Linked DNA regions of Xenopus tropicalis. The protein of the gene in region 1 purifies or fractionates together with the protein of each later gene. This does not show direct contact. Links are inferred from orthologs where the notes say so. Each region holds a gene or a part of one and is shown on either strand. Other genes may lie near its edges.

What was found. The genes of interacting proteins can lie anywhere in the genome.
Region 2: the proteins of swsap1 (region 1) and spidr purify together in Homo sapiens (co-immunoprecipitation; 3 studies listed by BioGRID and IntAct, with this or other methods). This does not show direct contact. The link is inferred for Xenopus tropicalis from reciprocal best matches to the Homo sapiens genes SWSAP1 and SPIDR.

What each region holds. Positions count from the first base shown.
Region 1 is NC_030679.2:140,119,309-140,127,773, forward strand, and holds swsap1 (ATPase SWSAP1), read left to right. Parts: upstream 1-5,105; 5' UTR 5,106-5,120; coding exon 5,121-5,477; intron 5,478-6,808; coding exon 6,809-7,228; 3' UTR 7,229-7,571; downstream 7,572-8,465. UniProt on the Homo sapiens protein: ATPase which is preferentially stimulated by single-stranded DNA and is involved in homologous recombination repair (HRR). Has a DNA-binding activity which is independent of its ATPase activity.
Region 2 is NC_030682.2:112,969,434-112,977,117, reverse strand, and holds part of spidr (DNA repair-scaffolding protein), read right to left. Parts: intron 5,440-7,684; coding exon 5,370-5,439; intron 4,001-5,369; coding exon 3,830-4,000; intron 1,953-3,829; coding exon 1,789-1,952; intron 1-1,788. UniProt on the Homo sapiens protein: Plays a role in DNA double-strand break (DBS) repair via homologous recombination (HR).

The DNA of each region.
Region 1 (8,465 bases):
CCTGGAACTATAGCAGGGTGACTGTTACCCCAATGTTTCTATATATCTGTAACCTTGTTATGGGCTAAGGGGGCCCAGCCTGAAGGCCAGTTAGGGGGGGATTTGGGGTGAGTGCTTATTTGTGCCCTGGGTACCCCTGGAACTATAGCAGGGTGACTGTTACCCCAATGTTTCTATATATCTGTAACCTTGTTATGGGCTAAGGGGGCCCAGCCTGAAGGCCAGTTAGGGGGGATTTGGGGTGAGTGCTTATTTGTGCCCTGGGTACCCCTGGAACTATAGCAGGGTGACTGTTACCCCAATGTTTCTATATATCTGTAACCTTGTTATGGGCTAAGGGGGCCCAGCCTGAAGGCCAGTTAGGGGGGGGATTTGGGGTGAGTGCTTATTTGTGCCCTGGGTACCCCTGGAACTATAGCAGGGTGACTGTTACCCCAATGTTTCTATATATCTGTAACCTTGTTATGGGCTAAGGGGGCCCAGCCTGAAGGCCAGTTAGGGGGGAATTTGGGGTGAGTGCTTATTTGTGCCCTGGGTACCCCTGGAACTATAGCAGGGTGACTGTTACCCCAATGTTTCTATATATCTGTAACCTTGTTATGGGCTAAGGGGGCCCAGCCTGAAGGCCAGTTAGGGGGGGATTTGGGGTAAGGGCTTATTTGTGCCCTGGGTACCCCTGGAACTATAGCAGGGTGACTGTTACCCCAATGTTTCTATATATCTGTAACCTTGTTATGGGCTAAGGGGGCCCAGCCTGAAGGCCAGTTAGGGGGGGATTTGGGGTGAGTGCTTATTTGTGCCCTGGGTACCCCTGGAACTATAGCGGGGTGACTGTTACCCCAATGTTTCTATATATCTGTAACCTTGTTATGGGCTAAGGGGGCCCAGCCTGAAGGCCAGTTAGGGGGGGATTTGCGGTGAGTGCTTATTTGTGCCCTGGGTACCCCTGGAACTATAGCAGGGTGACTGTTACCCCAATGTTTCTATATATCTGTAACCTTGTTATGGGCTAAGGGGGCCCAGCCTGAAGGCCAGTTAGGGGGGGATTTGGGGTGAGTGCTTATTTGTGCCCTGGGTACCCCTGGAACTATAGCAGGGTGACTGTTACCCCAATGTTTCTATATATCTGTAACCTTGTTATGGGCTAAGGGGGCCCAGCCTGAAGGCCAGTTAGGGGGGGATTTGGGGTGAGTGCTTATTTGTGCCCTGGGTACCCCTGGAACTATAGCAGGGTGACTGTTACCCCAATGTTTCTATATATCTGTAACCTTGTTATGGGCTAAGGGGGCCCAGCCTGAAGGCCAGTTAGGGGGGGATTTGGGGTGAGTGCTTATTTGTGCCCTGGGTACCCCTGGAACTATAGCAGGGTGACTGTTACCCCAATGTTTCTATATATCTGTAACCTTGTTATGGGCTAAGGGGGCCCAGCCTGAAGGCCAGTTAGGGGGGGATTTGGGGTGAGTGCTTATTTGTGCCCTGGGTACCCCTGGAACTATAGCAGGGTGACTGTTACCCCAATGTTTCTATATATCTGTAACCTTGTTATGGGCTAAGGGGGCCCAGCCTGAAGGCCAGTTAGGGGGGGGATTTGGGGTGAGTGCTTATTTGTGCCCTGGGTACCCCTGGAACTATAGCAGGGTGACTGTTACCCCAATGTTTCTATATATCTGTAACCTTGTTATGGGCTAAGGGGGCCCAGCCTGAAGGCCAGTTAGGGGGGAATTTGGGGTGAGTGCTTATTTGTGCCCTGGGTACCCCTGGAACTATAGCAGGGTGACTGTTACCCCAATGTTTCTATATATCTGTAACCTTGTTATGGGCTAAGGGGGCCCAGCCTGAAGGCCAGTTAGGGGGGATTTGGGGTAAGGGCTTATTTGTGCCCTGGGTACCCCTGGAACTATAGCAGGGTGACTGTTACCCCAATGTTTCTATATATCTGTAACCTTGTTATGGGCTAAGGGGGCCCAGCCTGAAGGCCAGTTAGGGGAGGATTTGGGGTGAGTGCTTATTTGTGCCCTGGGTACCCCTGGAACTATAGCGGGGTGACTGTTACCCCAATGTTTCTATATATCTGTAACCTTGTTATGGGCTAAGGGGGCCCAGCTTGAAGGCCAGTTAGGGGGGATTTGGGGTGAGTGCTTATTTGTGCCTGGGTACCCCTGGAACTATAGCGGGGTGACTGTTACCCCAATGTTTCTATATATCTGTAACCTTGTTATGGGCTAAGGGGGCCCAGCCTGAAGGCCAGTAAGGGGGGGATTTGGGGTGAGTGCTTATTTGTGCCTGGGTACCCCTGGAACTATAGCGGGGTGACTGTTACCCCAATGTTTCTATATACCTGTAACCTTGTTATGGGCTAAGGGGGCCCAGCCTGAAGGCCAGTTAGGGGGGGATTTGGGGTGAGTGCTTATTTGTGCCCTGGGTACCCCTGGAACTATAGCAGGGTGACTGTTACCCCAATGTTTCTATATATCTGTAACCTTGTTATGGGCTAAGGGGGCCCAGCCTGAAGGCCAGTTAGGGGGGGATTTGGGGTGAGTGCTTATTTGTGCCCTGGGTACCCCTGGAACTATAGCAGGGTGACTGTTACCCCAATGTTTCTATATATCTGTAACCTTGTTATGGGCTAAGGGGGCCCAGCCTGAAGGCCAGTTAGGGGGGGATTTGGGGTGAGTGCTTATTTGTACCCTGGGTACCCCTGGAACTATAGCAGGGTGACTGTTACCCCAATGTTTCTATATATCTGTAACCTTGTTATGGGCTAAGGGGGCCCAGCCTGAAGGCCAGTTAGGGGGGGATTTGGGGTGAGTGCTTATTTGTGCCCTGGGTACCCCTGGAACTATAGCAGGGTGACAGTTACCCCAATGTTTCTATATATCTGTAACCTTGTTATGGGCTAAGGGGGCCCAGCCTGAAGGCCAGTTAGGGGGGGATTTGGGGTAAGGGCTTATTTGTGCCCTGGGTACCCCTGGAACTATAGCAGGGTGACTGTTACCCCAATGTTTCTATATATCTGTAACCTTGTTATGGGCTAAGGGGGCCCAGCCTGAAGGCCAGTTAGGGGGAGATTTGGGGTGAGTGCTTATTTGTGCCCTGGGTACCCCTGGAACTATAGCAGGGTGACTGTTACCCCACTGTTTCTATATATCTGTAACCTTGTTATGGGCTAAGGGGGCCCAGCCTGAAGGCCAGTTAGGGGGGGATTTGGGGTGAGTGCTTATTTGTGCCCTGGGTACCCCTGGAACTATAGCAGGGTGACAGTTACCCCAATGTTTCTATATATCTGTAACCTTGTTATGGGCTAAGGGGGCCCAGCCTGAAGGCCAGTTAGGGGGGGATTTGGGGTAAGGGCTTATTTGTGCCCTGGGTACCCCTGGAACTATAGCAGGGTAACTGTTACCCCAATGTTTCTATATATCTGTAACCTTGTTATGGGCTAAGGGGGCCCAGCCTGAAGGCCAGTTAGGGGGAGATTTGGGGTGAGTGCTTATTTGTGCCCTGGGTACCCCTGGAACTATAGCAGGGTGACTGTTACCCCACTGTTTCTATATATCTGTAACCTTGTTATGGGCTAAGGGGGCCCAGCCTGAAGGCCAGTTAGGGGGAGATTTGGGGTGAGTGCTTATTTGTGCCCTGGGTACCCCTGGAACTATAGCAGGGTGACTGTTACCCCACTGTTTCTATATATCTGTAACCTTGTTATGGGCTAAGGGGGCCCAGCCTGAAGGCCAGTTAGGGGGGGATTTGGGGTGAGTGCTTATTTGTGCCCTGGGTACCCCTGGAACTATAGCAGGGTGACTGTTACCCCAATGTTTCTATATATCTGTAACCTTGTTATGGGCTAAGGGGGCCCAGCTTGAAGGCCAGTTAGGGGGGATTTGGGGTGAGTGCTTATTTGTGCCTGGGTACCCCTGGAACTATAGCGGGGTGACTGTTACCCCAATGTTTCTATATATCTGTAACCTTGTTATGGGCTAAGGGGGCCCAGCCTGAAGGCCAGTTAGGGGGGGATTTGGGGTGAGTGCTTATTTGTGCCCTGGGTACCCCTGGAACTATAGCAGGGTGACTGTTACCCCAATGTTTCTATATATCTGTAACCTTGTTATGGGCTAAGGGGGCCCAGCCTGAAGGCCAGTTAGGGGGGGATTTGGGGTGAGTGCTTATTTGTGCCCTGGGTACCCCTGGAACTATAGCAGGGTGACTGTTACCCCAATGTTTCTATATATCTGTAACCTTGTTATGGGCTAAGGGGGCCCAGCCTGAAGGCCAGTTAGGGGGAGATTTGGGGTGAGTGCTTATTTGTGCCCTGGGTACCCCTGGAACTATAGCAGGGTGACTGTTACCCCAATGTTTCTATATATCTGTAACCTTGTTATGGGCTAAGGGGGCCCAGCCTGAAGGCCAGTTAGGGGGGATTTGGGGTGAGTGCTTATTTGTGCCCTGGGTACCCCTGGAACTATAGCAGGGTGACTGTTACCCCAATGTTTCTATATATCTGTAACCTTGTTATGGGCTAAGGGGGCCCAGCCTGAAGGCCAGTTAGGGGGGATTTGGGGTGAGTGCTTATTTGTGCCCTGGGTACCCCTGGAACTATAGCAGGGTGACTGTTACCCCAATGTTTCTATATATCTGTAACCTTGTTATGGGCTAAGGGGGCCCAGCCTGAAGGCCAGTTAGGGGGGGATTTGGGGTGAGTGCTTATTTGTACCCTGGGTACCCCTGGAACTATAGCAGGGTGACTGTTACCCCAATGTTTCTATATATCTGTAACCTTGTTATGGGCTAAGGGGGCCCAGCCTGGGGATTTTATCCCCCTTTGGATAAACTCGTAGTTACACCAGATATTCCTGGGCAGTAGGTTAAACTTGAGAGGCTACTAACCTTTACAACTGTTATGCAGCTATGTGAATAACTAATAGGGCAGAATGACAACAAAACAAGGGAGACTGCATAAGATTTTCCACAAAAGCAAAAATCCTCTATACCGAATGTACCTCAGCAGAAACCATCTCAGTACTTGACAAGACACTGAGGTAAACCCTTCATTACACCCACAGACCAACACAACCAATAGAACTTCTCTCTTTTCGCTTACTGTAAACCGAGGCTTGACACGCATAATGCAAGTGTCTTCACTTCCGGACTTTCAGCCAATCAGCGCTACAGAGCTGGCTGCATGGGCTAAACCATTTTGCATGGCACAAACTCTGAGCAGGGTGCTGAGCGAGTTGTTGGGGTGTAAGGAGTTCCATAACCAGGGGGATCCCGGTACCAGTGTTCTGCCCGGCCATGTTAGCTCAACGGTTTCTTCCGTGCTGCTTGTCGGCCCCCCCGGCTGTGGGAAGAGCGGGCTCCTGTTTAGCGCCGCCCTTGTGGCCGCGGAGGAGGGTGCGGGGCCGGTAATATTTATATCCCGGGAGTCCCTGCAGCGGCTGCCCGGGGGTGGGAGGGAAGCCAGAGAGCCGCTCCTACTCAAGGTGATTCTATAGGGAAGGAGGTTTATATGGGGGGGCAGAGAGACAGGGTGTGGCTACCAGGGAAGGGCTGGGGGGCGGGGCAGAGAGACAGGGTGTGGCTACCAGGGAAGGGCTGGGGGGCCATGAGTGCAGGGCAGTAGTTTGTATTGGGCCATATTATGGGGGGACTGGGAACAGCTGTGAGGTGGGTTCTGACTCCGCGGGGTTGGGGCAAATGGGATGAGTGATTTATAGAGCCTTAAGCTGGCCATACACGGGCAGATCCTGCAGGTGCCCCAGCCGCGTCCCCTAACCCCCCCCCCAGGGGCCCCCCTAACCCCCCCCCGCAGGGCCCCCGCCTGACGTCCTCCCCGAGCGTGTATAAATTGAACGCGTCGGGGAGGAACAGTCAGTAGGGGGAGCGCCGGCAAAGGTCGGACTGGGCCGCTGGGGCCCACCGGGATTTTTCCCGGTGTCCCGGCGGCCCAGTCCGACCCTGGGCAGATCCGCTCGCTTGGCGATGTCGCCAAGCGAGCGGATCTGCACCCGATATCCCCACCTACGGGTGGCGATATCGGGGAGGCATGTAGGTGAATTCGATCGTTTGGCCCTGGGGCCAAACTATGGAATTCTGCACGCGGCAATGGGGCAGTCGGTTCGGGGACCACATCAACGAGCCGATGCGGTCCCCAATCCGACGGGATTTTCTAACCTGGCCGATCAATATCTGGCCAATTTCAGGCCAGATATCGGTCGGCCAGCCCGCTCGTTTATGCCCCTACACGGGCCGATAAGCTGTCGAGTCGGTCCAAGGGACCCATATCTGCAGCTACAATCTGCCCGTGTATGGGGACCTTTAGGGGAAGGACATATTATGAGGGGACAGATAATAGAGCAAAGTGCCAGGGAAGAATGTTAGTTTAGGGCAGGGATCCCCAACCTTTCTTACTCCTGAGGCATGGGTCATATGTAAAAAGACTTGGGGAGCAACACAAGCACCATAACAGTTCATGGAGGAGCCAAATAAGGGCTGTGATTGGCTATTAGGGGCCTCTATGCACCCTATCAGCTTACAGGGGCTTTATTTGGTAGCAAATCTTGTTTTTATTCAACAAAAACTTGCCCCCAAGTCAGGAATTCAAACATAACTCCCTGGTTTGGGGGCACTGAGAGCAACATCCAAGGGGTTGGGGAGCAACATGTTGCCCCTGAGCCACTGGTTGGGGATCCCTGCTCATGAGTGTATCCAGATGGATTTGCATAGCTTTGGTTGGCATGTCGTACTTGTAGTTATTTTTTTCAGCTATTGTTCTGTAGCAGTTTTTGATCTTAGTAATTTTTTTTCTTTTTAGCGAATCCGGTTTCTGTATCCTTCTTCTCTCAGGGAGCTTCTGCACCTTGTCTCGTCCATGCACCTCTCCTTCCCAGCTCCTTCTCTAATTGTGGTGGATGGACTGGAACGCTACCTCGCTCCGACCTGTGGCTCTGCTGATGGGGCTCTTATTTCAGGCCTTTTGCTAGACTCTGCTGCACACTTTAAGTGCGGCCTCCTGATATCTGCAGCACAACCTCTGGAGATGGGTGGAGATGGAGCATTCCTGGCCGTGGAGCGATATTTTCCAGCCCAGTGCCATATCTATGGCGAGGTGACAACTGAGCAGGAAGAGGGCACCTTTCACATAAGCTTCCCTTCCCATTTCCCACCTTGTGTCCTGCACACAGCAAAGGATGGTACTCTGAAAATATCACTTCCGAAAGCTTCATTTTCGTGACGGGATCGAATGTGAAAACTTACCACCTCATACTAAAATGTGTGTAGATCAGGGGTGCCAAGACTTTTTTCCGCGGCGATCGACTTTTGACTCCTCCCCGCGTACATACACATACCCAATAAACACGCGGAACCGCCGCACTTCCGCATTTCCCGGCTTCGACGCGGTCCACCAGAAATCCACAGGGGATCGACTGGTGGACCGCGATCAACATTTTGGCCACACCTGGTGTAGATGATAAATTCTTTCATGTTTCATGTATAGTGTTGATGCTTTTGCAACTTTTCAGAAAACATTGTTTAATGTAAATATTGTCAAAAAATAAAAAAATTTAACAACTTGACTACTGTGCAGTGATATTGGTATTTAAGCTGACTGGATATTGCAGTGGTTAGTACTATAATACTTCATGGACACCCAATTATTTTCACAGGAGATATTTGTAGTATTAAGTTTGGGTTGGTTTCACTATTCAACGCGAGGCATTTTCGGCGATTTGCCGAAATCGCGCCGCCGCGTGTGCCATCCCACCGGCAACTTACATTTTCGCCGGTGGGATGGCAACGGATGGCAACTTGGGGAAATAAGTCGCCCGCGAACAGGGAGATTTGTCGCAGGCGACTAATCTCCCCGTGTGCCAGAGCCCTTAAAGGTAATAGATCAGCCCCATTGTGTAAACTGTAAAGGCGCCCCCCCCATAGGGGGACACCTTTACAAGCACACTAATCAGCTCTGATAAGTCACTTGACAAAATAGTGATAAAAGCAAGCATTTTATTGGTTGTCCTGAGGCTATATTCAGGGTCGGACTGGGGGTGCAGGGGCTGCCGACCCAGGGGCCCTGCAGGTGCCCCCGCCGGCCTTGTCCCCCGCACCCCTTAGGGGCCCCCGCTGCACCCCCTAACCCCCCACAGAGACCCCTGCTGCACCCCCTAACCCCCCACAGAGACCCCCGCTGAGCCTCCCTAACTCTCTGCAGGGGCCCCTGCCCAACGTCATCCCCTGAGCGCGCCAAGTTTAACACGTCAGGAGAGGAACACCGTCTGGGCCTCAGGGGCCCACCAGCCCAGTCCGACCCTGGTTATATTTTGGTGGTCGTAGCTTAGGTGCAATCCATTTAAATCTCACCCATGGAACAATAAATCTAAACCCTACCACTGGTCACTGTAGAAAAATAAGAAAATAGTATTTTTATTACAAAATGTATACAACAACATATAGTACAAAAATGTTATAGA
Region 2 (7,684 bases), on another chromosome or scaffold:
CAAAAACAATCAATTGTGTATTAAAAACGCATGAACAGCCAACGTTACGTTTCGGTCCCCATTGAGAAAGGTCCGAAACATAACGTTGGCTGTTCATGCGTTTTTAATACACAATTGATTGTTTTTGGAATATAACTCGGTGTTGCTGGTCTTTTTTGGATATTTAAATCATTTACCTTGCACCCGAGCTAAGAGCTGAAGCAGAGTGCCACCCTGGGTTCGTATATATTATATATATATATATATATATATATATATATATATATATATATATACACACATGTACACATACATACATATACACATATACACCCATGCTCTTGATTTTCACCCAGTGAAACCCTTGCTCAATCAAGCTCTAAACTTTTGGCCTAGAATTATTAACTGTGTGGCCATGTGATTATAATAGTGATGATATATTTCCACAACTTTCTTTACATATCCCACCATTCTCCCTACTGATTCTTATTCTGATTGTGAACCTGATGAGCTGAATCTTTGAGCTGCTGCTTTTTCTTTACCAGATTACCCTACAAAAATTTTATAGTGGCATCCATTACATTGGTCCTGCCCAAACGGAGCTTATAATTTAGGTCCCTATCATATTCACACACACTAGTGTCAAGTTTAGCAGATTTCTAACAGACCACTATTAAGAAGACATTTTTGGAGGGACTTTGCAGTTACTTTTATGGGGATGTGCCAGATCTTTCATCTACTCTTAAGGCCTCCCACCCCATCCAGTATGGTTCAACTTTTCTACCTCATTTAAATAAACTACTAAATTTTTTTACTATAAAATGACTAGCCCAATTAAGTATTAGGCAGCACTGCCTTGCACTATCTGCAAGGAGTTTGTATGTTTTCCCTGTGTCTGTTTCCTCCCACACTCGAGAAGCATACGGCAAAAACATACTCCTTGGGAGCCAATTTGCACCATCAATCGCACCAAGCTCTGCTGAATTACGCGTGCTACTGCTACTTGGCTCTCATTAAACTTATTCCACTAAATCAAAGAACATGTATGAACGAACTGTCTGATATTTTACTGGCTATGGTACACAGTATATGGTACTATATTTTGTTAATTACTATTTTACATAATACGAAGCACAAACATTTAATAAGACTAATGCGAGAAATGAAAGGGGATCTAACACAAAACATGCAATGTACACTTACTGAATGTAACTCCTCTGAGTACTTTTATAGTTTACAAACATTTTATATTTTTAGTGGTTTGTGAAATATTAGCAGTCTTAGAACATTTTAGACTGCTAATAAAAGGCTTTCAGCTTAACAGCTCTCTTTGAAGGCCATATTGTCAGCAACCCTAACTGTCTATGTACTTTCTATGCACTCCTAACCCATTAGTGTTGCTGAGCCAAAAGCCTGGTATTAGTAATTAAAAAATCTCAGAAACTGCTAAAAATAGAAAATGAATGTAAATTGCAAAAGTGCTCAGAGAAGCACTCCGAGTAAGTTTACATCATATCTTTTGGGTTTGGATCCCTTAAAATGATTAAAATTTGACCATTACCATTGCTCCAAGAAAATGCACGAGTCCTGCACCAGCGCATAAACATTAGAGGCATTTACCAGCAACAGTACATTTGCAGAGCACCATTACACCAAGAAAAGAAAAATGAAATACACAAGCATTTACAATTTCTATGTAACATTGCTGCCCTCTACTGGAAATCTAAAATATAACCTGCTATAAGATAATTTTTCTTAAAAAAAAAAAAAAAAAAAAGCACTATTAAACAATACCAGAGATTTACATACTTTAGAAGATTCAGCCCCTTTCAGTAGCTGGGATTCAGTAGCTTTGCTGGATAAGGACTCAGGATCAGATATTTCTACAGCACTTTCAGCTGCATCTGAAAATGTCCTCTTTTCCTCTTCAGAATCACACTCATATTGCCAGCCAGTGATCTCAGGGACATCATCTAAAAGAGCACCTTAAATTCAGTTTACTGACTCTCCAGGTATCTGCATACTTCAGTATTGGCTTTGAATCATCATGCTGGTGTTCATTATAACTGCAGTTTGTTAAACACAGGCCCTGGGGTGCATAAACCATTTCTAGAGGTGTATAAAGTATTTTTAGTATTTAGACCAAATAAGGTCAACTCCATTTTCTGCTATAAACCTTGCAGCGTTTGTTGGTCCAAAAATACTGCAATTGAGATCATTTTATGACTTTTTAAAACTTATGATTAACTATTAATAGTGTAATTATTACTCTACTGTAAATTCACAAATGTAATCAATGGCATCAATTTTGCCATGGCAAGAAGACTTCAGTAGATATTTTTTAATGGATACCATCATGGGTGAAATTGTGAACATTTCAAAAAATTTAAAGAAAAGTGATCCAGCTCTATTGATTTTTTGGAGGGCAGTTATTATTGCAGATAATTAGTAACTGTTTACAATTTTATTTGTAAATATTTATGTTCTAAAAATTGGATAATGATTTCAATAACCTCATTTGTTGTTAGTTTTTGAGCTAAACAAGTAAATAGAAATAACTTCATGTTTAGTCCTTGAGAGGTGGGTGATTACATTACCAATACACAACTCCCTTCCTTCTCCCTTTGTTTTTACTGCAAAAGGAGGATTATTCTGGTGTGTTTTGGGTCATTGTCCTGCTGCAGCACCCAAGATCGCTTCAGCTTGAGTTGACAAACAGATGGCCGGACATTCTCCTTCAGAATTTTTTGGTAGACAGTAGAATTCATGGTTCCATCTATCACAGCAAGCCTTCCAGGTCCTGAAGCAGCAAAACAACCCCAGACAATCACACTACCACCACCATATTTTACTGTTGGTATGATGTTCTTTTTCTGAAATGCTGTGTTACTTTTACGCCAGATGTAACGGGACACGCACCTTCCAAAAAGTTCAACTTTTGTCTCGTCAGTCCACAAGGTATTTTCCCAAAAGTCTTGGCAATCATTGAGATGTTTTTTAGCAAAATTGAGACGAGCCATAATGTTCTTTTTGCTTAAATGGAAATCTGCCATGCAGGCCGTTTTTGCCCAGTCTCTTTCTTATGGTGGAGTCGTGAACACTGACCTTAATTGAGGCAAGTGAGGCCTGCAGTTCTTTAGATGTTGTCCTGGGGTCTTTTGTGGTCTCTCGGATGAGTTGTCTCTGCGCTCTTGGGGTAATTTTGGTCGGCCGGCCACTCCTGGGAAGGTTCACCACTGTTCCATGTTTTTGCCATTTGTGGATTATGGCTCTCACTGTGGTTCGCTGGAGTCCCAAAGCTTTAGAAATGGCTTTATAACCTTTACCAGACTGATAGATCTCAATTACTTTTGTTCTCATTTGTTCCTGAATTTCTTTGGATCTTGGCATGATGTCTAGCTTTTGAGGTGCTTTTGGTCTACTTCTCTGTGTCAGGTAGCTCCTATTTAAGTGATTTTTTGATTGAAACAGGTGTGGCAGTAATCAGGCCTGGGGGTGACTACAGAAATTGAACATTGAATTGATAAACCACAGTTAAGTTATTTTTTAACAAGGGGGGCAATCACTTTTTCACACAGGGCCATGTAGATTTGGAGTTTTTTTTCTCCCTTAATAACGTAAACCTTCATTTAAAAACTGCATTTTGTGTTCAATTATGTTATCTTTGACTAATAGTTAACGGTTTTTGATGAGCAGAAACATTTAAGTGTGACAAACATGCAAAAGAATAAGAAATCAGGAAGGGGGCAAATAGTTTTTCACACCACTGTATATGCACTGGTAGTGTAATTACCTCCCTCACAAAGGCCAAGCATTAAGTGGCTTCATTTCACTCTTCTGTAAAACTTACCATTAAATTGCTTCATAGAGGCAGACAAATCCATGGAGTATGATTTTCCCTTATTGCGAGAGGATCGACTAGCAAATCCAAGTCGGGAATTAAATTCTTTACTTCCATCGTTTGATAACTCACTGTCACTGGAGCTCCACACAATACGTGCAGGATTGTTATCGTTACAATCTGGAGCAGGAAACATTCAAGGCAAATATTTGTATGTACAGGATTATAAAACATGACAAATAAGTAAAATAATGAATGACAGGAAATGTTGCTTGCTTGGGCTAATGCCACACTGGGTGGCTACTTGGCCAAAATTCAGCATGACACTGCTCACTTAAGTTTTGTGGCAAATTCCGCTAAGTGTGGCTGCACCCGGGCCGAGGCAATGGCTCCGGGTGCAGCCACAACTATCAGATTTTTTAAGCCCAGGGACGGATTCTCAGGCCAAGAATCCGCCCAGTGTAGCACTAGTCTTAAGCAAAGCACTTACTACAGCGTTATGGCTGCTCCATGCAGCTGTTCCAAGTTAGCCTTTTATCTTAGGCTAATGCCACACGAGGCATGGGCAGATATTTTTGGCAAGCGTAAAAGTGTGAAAACGCAAGATAATGCAAAGTCTCGCGTTTTCATGTGTATATCGGCTACATGTGCCTGCACCCGAGTGTATCTCATTCATTTGGGTGCAGGCACATGTAGGAGGCGTAGGGCGGAATTTTCAGCAAGTGCTTTTACGCTTGCCAAAAATATCCGCCCTACGCCTCGTGTGGCATTAGACTTAAGTGTAAGGAGGAAGACCAGAGAGAAAGCTTATCTGTCTGTAGAACACTCAGAAGTTGTGAAAAAAAATTATGGGTTGGATGGGGAAGAGTCGCCCAACCATAACCTGTAACTCAGATACTGTGATAAAGTAGTATTACATGAAAACATGTATCCAATATTAAAAAAGAAAAAAAAACAGTAAACATCTGATTGCTGGTTGCTATAGGTTACTGTATTAGAGCATTTGACTGGTAAGTCTGAGCATTATTATCCTTATTTGGAACCTGAATTTTTTGGTTGTAAAGAGCAAAATACCTTGCATTCAGTATTTGCTCAATCGTGACCAAAAGTATTGTCCTCTGTGATCCAATAAGTGCCTGGTGAAAAAAGCAATCAAATCTTCCCTCATTTCCCCCACTACATACGTGATCAAATCAACCTCCAAATCACCCACTCACCCATCCTGTTAACATACCAATATTACAGGCAACTTATTCCAAACATATCATCATTAAAATTCCCCAATCTGGCTTATTTCCTGGGGTAGATCACTTCTCAGACAAATTAATGTTTACAAGCTGACAGTGGAGAGAAAATACTATATATAGCACAAAACATTCCATATGACAGAAGGACACGTCTGACCCATTTAACAATGAGTCAGGCTAGTGATATATTCTATTTACGGTTAAGGGTTTAAGCACTTTTTTATGGCCACACATGTTACAAGCAGTTTTACATAATTCATACATAATTCATACAAGCATGAGGTCAGAACAGTACTATTTACCTTCATCATAAACAGGGGTGTGTGCTATGGGCTTGCCAAGCAGAGTAGTTCTTTCCGATGAAGCTGCTGCCTACAGGATAGGAGAACACAAGAGAGTAAGAGACATAGAATGCAAAATTAAAGCAGCGTTTGTAGCATTAGTGCTCATCACACATTTAGTAGGACTTTCCAGCACCTATTTCTGCAAGAGTCAATTTGGTTGCATCATAATATTCAATTAAACAGATTAGCTCTTTACACTCTACATATAGAACAATACATTTACAGCACAATAGATGCTATCTAATAAGTCATGGTTACTTTATCTGATTTGGGACCCCAGGGACTTTCAGGAAAACTTAAGGTGGCTACGCACGTGGCGATTTTCGAACTTTTGTGCGACCATCGTTCCAATCCACCACTGACGTTCAGGGCTGAAACATCAGATATGGAGGTAGAAACAATAGGATTTCTACCTCCTTCTGCCAATTCAGCCCTGAAGGCAGATTTTGCTCAGGCGCCTTCTATGGCGCCCAATCAGCGAGTCGACCGATATTAGCAGCCTCCTGCAATATCGGTCGCCTCGCAGAGTTGCCATACGCGCACCGAATATGGTACGAAATGAGGTTTCGTACGATATTATCGGTGCGTGTATCGCCAGCTTTAGAGAGGCTTACAGATGTCTTTATTAACTATCATAATGATTGATCCTTCAGCCAGGAGATTTCAGTGATAGTCTACTGGGAAGGGGTGGGGGGGGGGGGCTTTATTGCAGCATTTAAAACATTTGACACTGCCCTTAAGGAGATACTGACACCTGAAATTAAAACTTGAAAATTTGGATCTCCATACCTTAAGTCTAAAAATCATTAAAACATTAAAAAAAACCATTAGGATTGTTTTGTTCATTATATCTTAGTTAGGATTAGGTACAAGGTACTGTTTTATTATTACAGAGAAGGAGAAAATCAATTTTAAAATATGAATTATTTGATTAAAATAGTCTATGGCAGACGGCCTTCCCATAATTCAGAGCATTCTGGATAACGGGATTCCGGACATGCCAAGACATCTGAAAACTATGATCACTGATTTTTCTTTTTGTATTTTTTATAATAAACTCTTTTGTGGACACACTAACTACTAGTAAACATTGTGAACATTTAACTGACTTCTCACAACTACATTTGTTGCTCTTTATTTTATACTTAAAGGAACACCAAAAAATAAAAGTATTTTACAGTTATGAAAATATAACGTACTTTCACCCTGTGCTTATAAAACTGGTGTGTACTATAATATCACCGTTTAGGTAAACAAGCTACTGTGTAGCCCAGGGGACAGCCATTTTGTCTGAAAAAAAGAGAAAAGGCACAGGCAGATAACAGATAAGTAGACAGAATCCCATTGTATTCTACAAAACTTTTCTGTTATATACTAAAGGCCCCCATACACGGGCCGATTTTTTACTGTCAAACGACCGATTCCCGAACGATCAGATACTATCGTTAAGTTATTGTATAGTTGATGGTGTGCGAACGATCGTCGGCCCACTAATCGACCCAACATTATCGTCCCCAAAATCGATCGGCCAGGTTTAAAAATTTTAGTTGTTTAACGATAAAATTTGCCAGTTGGTGTGAGTGTCAGACATTTGTCTTCGAACGATTGTTCTCTGCGCATGTCATGATTGCCAGCAGCGGAAGTCAACGAACATAAATAAATAAATACCGCTTCCGCCACGACATTGGATCGTACGTATTTTACGATAATGATACGATGAAATCTTTTGCAAATGATCGTTGTTCGTGGATGGCGTATCGTATGGAAACCCGATCGCCATACGATCATTTGTCGATATAATCGTTTGTCGCACAACGCGTGAAATCGCCTCGTGTATGGGGACCTTAAGTAACCTGTGCCTTTTCTCCTTATATTCAGACGAAATGGCTGCCCCTGTAGCTACACAGCAGCTTGTTTAACTAAAATATAATAGTACAGTGTATTACTGAAGCAAAAACACAAGTTTCACCAGTGCAGGGCAAAAGTACATTATAATTTCATTACTTTCATTTTTTGTGTTACTGTTCCTTGAAATGTAGAGTTACTGTTCCTTGAAATGTGGAGTTATATTAAGTTAATAACCACTGTATCAGTACATGAGGGATGAGCACTAAATATTATAACACCTATTGTTTTAATGACAGAATTCTGACAGTAAAGCCTTGTTGGCAAACCTTGTTAAAATTACTAAATTAAAAAAAGACCCCGGCACTGTTAATTTACTGTGGGTGTGTTAGATCAGCTCTAATTAATGCCATAGAACTTGGTATGTA